2 linked regions of the Mus musculus genome follow. The protein of the gene in region 2 interacts with the protein of the main gene of each other region in a pairwise test. Links are inferred from orthologs where the notes say so. Each region holds a gene or a part of one and is shown on either strand. Other genes may lie near its edges.

Region 1 (4,111 bases), on a different chromosome or scaffold from region 2:
TTAAAGAGAAAGGAAGAAAAAGGAAGGAAGAGAGAGAAAGAGAGAGACAGAGAGAGAGAGAGAGAGAGAGAGAGAGAGAGAGAGAGAGAGAGAGAGAGAGAGAGAGAGAGAAGAAATAATGAGAGTGGCATGAAAAACACCTTCAGAGACAGACATGCACATACAGTTCTCTGGAAGGTGGTTTGTATTGTTACAGAAGATGGATGTAAGAAAGATATTCTGTAGTCTTTAAAATGATGTGATAGAACATTTCTTATTATGGAGTGTGTCTAGGATATAATGTTATTAGGTATTAAAGATTCAGTGACAAAACAATCACAACATCATCTACTTTAAAAAACACACTGCACTGTGGAAAAATATCTCCCGGATGATAAAAAACCAAATGTTTTTTGTTGTTTGTTTGTTTGCTTGCTTGCTTGCTTGCTTGCTTGCTTGAGGTAGGGTCTCAAGCCCTGACTATGTAGACCAGGCTGGCCTCAAACTCAGTGATCAGCTCTCCTCTGCTTCCCAAGTTCTAGGCTTAATAGTGTGTGCTAGCTCTCCTAGAAAGAACTAAATGTCAACAGTGGTTATCAATGTGGGCAAAACCATCCATTTAGATTATTGCTACAGCTTTTGTCTTTAATTTTATTACTTGAAAATGTTAACTTTGGGGTTGACCAGAGTGAGCAGGGCCAGAGCAAGCAGAGGTCCTGAATTCAACTCCCAGCAACCACATGATGGCTCACAACCATCTGTACAGCTACAGTGCACCCATATCCATAAAATAACTAAATAAATCTTTAAAAGAAAATGTTAACTTTGGGGTTGGAGAGATGGCTCAGCAGTTAAGAGTACTGGCTGCCCTTCCAGAGGACCTGGATACAATTCCCAGTGTCCACATGGCAGCTCACATCTGTCTGTAACTCTAGCTCCACAGGGTTCAACATACTCACACAGATATACATGCAGGCAAAACATCAATGCACAAATAAAATAAGTTATTTTTTTTAAAAAGAAAATGTTGGGGCCAGAGACATGGCTCAGAGGTTAAGAGCACTGACTGCAGCTGGGCAGTGGTGGCACAAGCCTTTAATCCCAGCACTTGGGAGGCAGAGGCAGGCAGATTTCTGAGTTCGAGGCTAGCCTGGTCTACAGAGTGAGTTCCAGGACAGCCAGGGCTACACAGAGAAACCCTGTCTCGGAAGAAAAAAAAAGAAAAAAAAAAAAGCACTGACTGCTCCTCCAGAGGTCCTGAGTTCAAATCCCAGCAACCACATGAAAGGGATCTGATGCTCTCTTCTGATGTGTCTGTAAACATCTACAGTGTACATATATATAAATACATATATGTGTGTGTACATATGTGTGTGTACATATATGTATGTGTACATATATATGTGTGTGTGTGTGTATGTATATATATATTTTAAATGTTAACCTTGGGGGCTGGAGAGATGGCTCAGTGGTTAAGAGCACCGACTACTCTTCCAGAGGTCCTGAGTTCAATTCCCAGCAAAGAAAGTGGTTGGGATAGTAATGGGGAAAATTTCCCTTTTTTTTTTTTTTTTAAAGTTAACCTTATTCCAGTCAACTTGTCTCGCTATCCTTAAAGATCTCCCTTCACCACCCTAGATCAGACCTACATTCTCTGAGGTTTCATGACCATAGCTCTAAATGGATGTTCAATTAAAAAAGATGGGGGCTGGTGAGATGGCTCAGTGGGTAAGAGCACCCGACTGCTCTTCCGAAGGTCCAGAGTTCAAATCCCAGCAACCACATGGTGGCTCACAACCATCTGTAACGAGATCTGACTCCCTCTTCTGGAGTGTCTGAAGACAGCTACAGTGTACTTACGTATAATCAATAAATAAATCTTAAAAATATATATATATAAAAATAAAATAAAGAAAAAAAGAAAAAAAGATGGTAGCGGTTGCTTGGGTCCTTCTCTGAGGAGCTTCTCTCAGGCACCCACTGCACAGAGGTCAGTGTCTCTAGGAGACCAAGACGCCAGTGATTTACAGGCCCCAGCTTCCTGCAGAACAGCTCAGCAACAGTAAATTCTAAATACCTCCCTGCAGTCATCATTAACAGAAACTTGTCTATAGCATCTGCCCACCCCTATGTTTTCAGCATCCTGACAGCAAGCTGGAGAACTGGCATCCAGACCAAAAGGGCTGGCTCTTGCTAGAAGCTGTGTATGGTAACCTTTAGAGAACATCTTTGCCTTTTACAAACTGTTTCCATTTTCATGAGGCCATTTGATTGGCTAAACCCAGAAACAAGAATAGACCAGGGAGTGAAAAGTCTCACCAATTTGTGCTGATATGACTCAATGGCTTCACTTCTCCGAACCCTGCTTCCCTCTGTTGAGGAAGCCCATGACCCCTTCTTACTATTTCTGTGAGGAAGAAGCCAGCCTCACTCAGTGTACCACACAGGGTGGTCAGTACACACGTTCAAATGAGTCTATAAAGACCTACAAGCTAGGTGGGAAAACCCAGGCTCAGAATGTACAGTGACTTGGGCACCAGCTTCAGAGCCGGAGAGGCCGAGCTTGAAAATTGACCCAGAAGCCTGCCTCCTAGGTCAGAGTTCACACCAAAAAGCACACCTGCTCCTCCCTCTCCCACTCCTTACCAGCTTCAGCCAGCTTCTTCCTCTCTCAGCCCAGCCTTGAGGCAGGTTGCGCTGGCTTCCTCGCTGGCTTCCAGGTTGCTGGGAGCCAGCCTCTTTTGCATGGGTCTCCCCAGCTCTTGGTCCACTCTCTGGCTGGCTTTCTTCTTCCTTCCTCGGATGACTTTGGAACTCTGCATATACAAAAGACCTGGACATTTGCTTTTGTGAGTCACCCCTGCTTTCTCTGAGCTGGCAGGAGGAAGTCCACTCATCCTTGCAAGCTTCTGTTCTAGAAAGGGAGGGGCCCTAGCCTTTTTACCCTGGGCTGACCTGTCTGGACTCACACTTATCCTGGCTTTGGTAGGTAGGTAGGAGATCCCTGAAACCAGATACATGGCTACTCTGAGCCCTTGCAATGAAGGCACACCAAAGCAGATAACCCAGCAGAGGGAGACAGAGACAGAGACAGAGACAGAGACAGAGACAGAGACAGGGACAGGGACAGGGACAGGGACAGGGACAGGGACAGGGACAGGGACAGAGACAGACTGAGGCCTGGTAAGCATGAGCAGCAAGTGCCTGAATTCTTCAACAAGCCAGACACCGACCCGATAGGTATCCAGAGTCAGTGGCTTCTGAATCAATACAGGTAGTGAGGGCAGGACTTCACTTCTCCAAGCCTTGAGTTCCTCACCTGCAGCTGCGCGGAGAAATCCACCTTCCTTGTGGGGTGCAACTAGGGAGACAGTTCAGTGGTCAGAGTACTTGCTATGCGAGCACAAGAACCTGCATTCAAATCCCAAACATTCATGGAAAAACCTGGGCATGCATGCCTGTAGCTTCAGCGCTGGAGGGGGTGAAGGGTGGAGACTGGCAGGTCCTGGGAGCCTGCCAGCCAGCCTAGCCCAAGCAGCAAGCTTCCAGTTTGACGAAAGACTCTGCCTCAAAGAAATACAGCAAAAACATCTGACAGTCTCCTCTGGGTGCTACACGCATGCCCATGTGTGAGTTCACACACACACTTACCTACTCAGGCTGCAGAGTAAAGGAGATAATATCTACAAGTGTTACTACACAGTAAACGGCACGAAGAAACACAGTAGGGGTGAGTTAGAACTATATTATTATTATTATCACTATAGCGTGACCAGGTAAAGAGTGAAAAATGCAAATGAAGCACACACATAGAAGTTCTTTTTTTACTTTTTTTTTGTTGTTGTTGTTTTTTTTGAGACAAGGTTTCTCTGTGTAGCCCTGGCTGTCCTGGAACTCACTTTGTAGACCAGGCTGGCCTCAAACTCAGAAATCCGCCTGTCTCTGCCTCCCAAGTGCTGGGATTGAAGGCATGCACTACAACCACCCGGCTACATTTCATTTTTTTTTATTAGATATTTTCTTCATTTACATTTCAAATGCTGTCCCAAAAGTCCCCTGTACCCTCCCCATGCCCTACTCCCCAACCCACCCACTCCTGCTTCCTGGCCCTGGCATTCCCCTGAACTGGGGC
Region 2 (4,143 bases):
ATATGAACGTTCCTTTTGTGTAAGTATTGTTTGTTTTATTCATTTATCTATATCTGTTTTCTTAAGACAGGGTTTCATGTGGCCCAGACTGGCCTGAAACTTCTGATCCTCCTGTCTCCACCATCTAAAGACTGAGATTACGGATACAAATTACCCACCCTGGAGTTATCCATGTCTTGAGACTATAAAAACATTCTATTATAAGTACTAATCTCTGAAACAACTAAACTTGGTATACGTTTATTACACGGATAGCAAGCAGCGTCACCTATGACTTCAGCATCCTTAAAGACTAGTCAGAAGGCCTAGTTTACTTATTGAGACAAAATTAAGACTGAGTAAGAAAGCACCAAAATCTCTTATAAGATTAACACTGAGGATCTCAGTAGATTGTCAACAGTTCACAGAACATCCCAAGAGTCTGAATATGGCACACTAGGTGTACTTGGAAAGTTGTGACTGGCCATAAGTCTTTTCACAGCAGTACACAGTTATAATACGAAAACTATGTAAGATGTCTTATGTATAAAAATTGTCACAGGTGAATCATGTATAGTTGAATATACTAAGCAGAAAAACCAAATTATCCTCCTCATCATTTCTAAGGTCTCTGAATCAAGAGTTGCAATTATACTGAAAACCACACACTGTGATATGCTAGCATTCTTTACTTTAAGAAGTAATGCTACTTCCTAAGATGGGACATGGACTTAGAATATGTAAGTATAATTTCCTGGAAAAAAAAACACGCAAGTTATTACATGCACAGTCTAGTAGAGAAATATTCTTTCAAATTATTTAAAAATTTAAAAAACTTGAATACCTTCTAGTCATAGGGAAAAAAATATTTTTCTCAAAATCAGACCTTATTGCTAACATCAGAAAGTACTATTGTTTAGCTTCCTTAGGTCATTTAAAAAACAAGTTAAAATTGTTTTATGTTTTAAAAGCCACTTATCTCCAGTATATGGTTAAATATGGAGATGGTATGTAAGTTATTTGGCAAAAGCTACTCTTAATCTTTGATCTTTAAAGCTAAAATACCATTTTAAAAGCCACTAAATACTACCTGAAAACTCAGCTTTAGGAATTACCATTCATTGGAGAAAAAAAAAAAAAATCAAGAGACAGCCTTATCTACACTTAATGCTTTTACATAAGTACTTTCATCCCACTCTTTCCAAAAAGAAACCATAGCATCCTGAATATGTAAGATGCTAATCAAATATTAGTGGCAAATGTTTTTCATGGCTAACTAATATGAAAGACTGTTGAGCACTAAGCAAGGACAGGAAACCAATCTAGCATACACATGAATCTGTACACAACAGGCCCTATCATTATTACAGTTAACAGTAAAGAGGAGCTCTTAAGAAAGCTAAGGCACAAAGAACTTCACACATAACAAAGTATCTCTCTTTTTTTTTAATCCTTTTTAAAATCAAAGAGCTACTCTCTACTGAAATTGTCTATTTTTAAAAGGTTTCCCATATAATGTTAGTACACCATAATTTCTAAATCTTGTAATACTGGCCTAGTTGAATTTTCCACACAAAATGGGAGGTTTGGAATTCCTGTTTGCAATCACACTCCCCTTGCTCTGATTAGAGACCTAAGCAAAGGATTGTCTTTACATAGTCTCAAAGGTCTGAAATTAGGGAAAATACTGTAAAATACAAAGACATACCATCTCACTCAATACTAGAAGTTATTTGAATATTGACAGCTCTAAAGACATAGCTGCCCGTAATATCTGCCAAGTGTGAATGTAAACTGAGAAGGTAGATAGGAACATATATATTCCATTACATTTCCCCAAGAGCTTTGATCGGATTCCCCTAAGTTCATGCATGTCTCTGTGTACAGACACGGACGTTGATCTGGGCTATTGGATGAAAATAATCAGAGCTGCATCTGTCTGAAAATACATCATCTAGCTTGTCATTATCAAAGCAGAAGAGGAGAGTTGAGGTATTCCCCGACAGAAGATCTTGGTAATAACACCTACAAGGCAGGTAGTGTGATTAGCTCCTGTCCCCACCGCATGAGATGCTGGGAGGTGGATGACAGGACGTCTGGAGACCCACACATCAGTCTGCATCCTTTTCCTCCCCCACCCGCTCCGCACTCCTTTGCTTCACTCACGTATAAAACGCACTCTCCATCGCATTCGAAGCTGAGGTGTCCAGTGGGTAGGTTTTTAAGGATCATTTTCCTAGTGCTTTAAATGGGATCTAACGACCTCGGACAGCCTGGGGTTGAATGCTATTGCTGCCAGCCCCCGAGGCTCACCTCAAGCTTGTGGTTGATCTGGGACACAGTCTGGGCTTTGTGGCATAGCTGCGCAAAGCAGGAGCTAAGGCTGGTCATCTTCTGACGCCCCTCATAAGTGATGTCCGCCTGGTCCGGATCGATCTCGCCCAAAAGCAGATCCACATCCACGAAGGCCTTGTCGAACTCCTTCTCCAGCACCTCAAGCCATCGGAACATGGACACCCCGCCAGGGGAGACCCCCACAGGGCAGGAGGAGCCCCCTGGGCCGCCGCCGGCTCCCGCCGGGCATGGGCCACCCGCCGACATGGCGCCGTCCAGGGCCTCGCCGACTGCTGCTCACTCTGGCCGCCCGCCCCGCGCGAGGGGAACTGCTAGCACCGCGGCGCCCCCCGCGCGCGCGCACACACAGACACACACGCACACACACACAGACACACACCCGCCGGTCCCCTCCCTTCCCTCGCGCCGCCAACGCCGGCAGCGCAGCTCCAGAGCAGCAAAGGAAGCGGGGCTGAAGCAGCGACAGCGACACGGAAGACCCGCCCCGCCCGCAAGCCGGCCCGCCCCCGCCGCGCGTGCGTAGCGGAGCCCAGAGCAGGCGCAGCCCAGAGGGAGAAAGTGGGCGGGGCCGTACGAGAGCTTAGCCAATGAAAAGCCTTCGCCTCCACAAGCCTGTCTGCGACCATTTTGACGACCGGCAAAACCCTGAGAAGCAAAGGGTTGAGGTGGCCCCTTGCAAGTGGGGAAGACCGGAGGAAGGGAAGGGAAAGATTCCACGTCGCAGAGGGGACCGGCTTCCGCCAGTTTGGCTTCACAGTGGGCCTGGAACCGGTCCACAGACGTCTAGCAAAGTTGCTACTGGGGTGTCAAGGGGCTCGGGTGGGAGCGGGGAGGGCCGTGTGTGCATGCGCAATAGCCACGTTTTCTCTTCCGATTTCCAGCTCTTAGGGCGGGAGGGTGGGGACACTGGCTAATGTTGCTAAACCTGACGGTGCATTCCAGCCAGAAGCTGCCTATGGAAGCTACTGAGCAAGTTTTGTTGAATCAATGGTTCCTCCTTCTATGATTGACAAGCTGGGGTTCTAGGCCAATGTATTATTACATACTAGCTGCCCCACCTCAGTGGTGTTACCTTGCTTGGGTAACAAGGTTTCCAAAGTTTACTTCACTTGGCAATTAAGGTAAAGTGAAAGTGTTATCACTTGGTACATAGCACTCATCTTACTGCATCACAGATCGTATATTTCTAAAGCAACCACTTGGGATGCTGTAATCATCTTATAAACTAGTATTGTGCTCGTTCCCATGTTATTTTCATATGTTCATAAACATTGAATACATATCCCGATTGAGGCACTGAGGACATAAAATCTAATGAAACGACCTCATCCAAGCCGAACTAGTAAGACAGTGAGGCTCTCACGACTTTTAATTCCAGTGTTGCGTGCATTTGAGAGCATTTATCAAGAGCTTTCTTTGTGTCCTGCCTCTCATCTCTTCCACTTCTCCAACTCCACCCCTGTCTAAACCAACAGTAGACTGTCCGGAAGGGAAAGGAGAAGCCAGACTAATTAGAGTAGGCAGGTAGGAATTGTGCTTCCTGACTCGCCTACGGGAGTATGTGGAAAATTAGTCCATAATCTTTCGGAAGTTGTTCTTGGGACGGACCTTTCTAATAAATCATCAACCAAAGTCTGCATGGCATTGTGTGCCTCTCATCAAAGCAGTACCAATAAGAATTAAGAAATAACAGATTTAGTTTGCACTCTGGTTACTCCAATGCATGACTGCTTACCATCAAGCAAAAGCTATTATGACTTCAGCAAACTTAGACAAGTAAAACTAACCATGCAACTCTTCCCTTGAGTT

The links. The genes of interacting proteins can lie anywhere in the genome.
Region 1: the proteins of Gopc (region 2) and Rnf183 interact in binary tests that used the Homo sapiens proteins (3 or more experiments, as listed by UniProt). The two-hybrid records come from large-scale screens. The link is inferred for Mus musculus from reciprocal best matches to the Homo sapiens genes GOPC and RNF183.

Annotation. Positions count from the first base shown.
Region 1 is NC_000070.6:62,431,840-62,435,950, forward strand, and holds the start of Rnf183 (E3 ubiquitin-protein ligase RNF183), read right to left. Parts: upstream 2,802-4,111; 5' UTR 2,626-2,801; intron 1-2,625. UniProt on the Homo sapiens protein: Acts as an E3 ubiquitin ligase catalyzing the covalent attachment of ubiquitin moieties onto substrate proteins. Triggers apoptosis in response to prolonged ER stress by mediating the polyubiquitination and subsequent proteasomal degradation of BCL2L1.
Region 2 is NC_000076.6:52,379,319-52,383,461, forward strand, and holds the start of Gopc (Golgi-associated PDZ and coiled-coil motif-containing protein), read right to left. Parts: upstream 2,807-4,143; 5' UTR 2,581-2,806; coding exon 2,293-2,580; intron 1-2,292.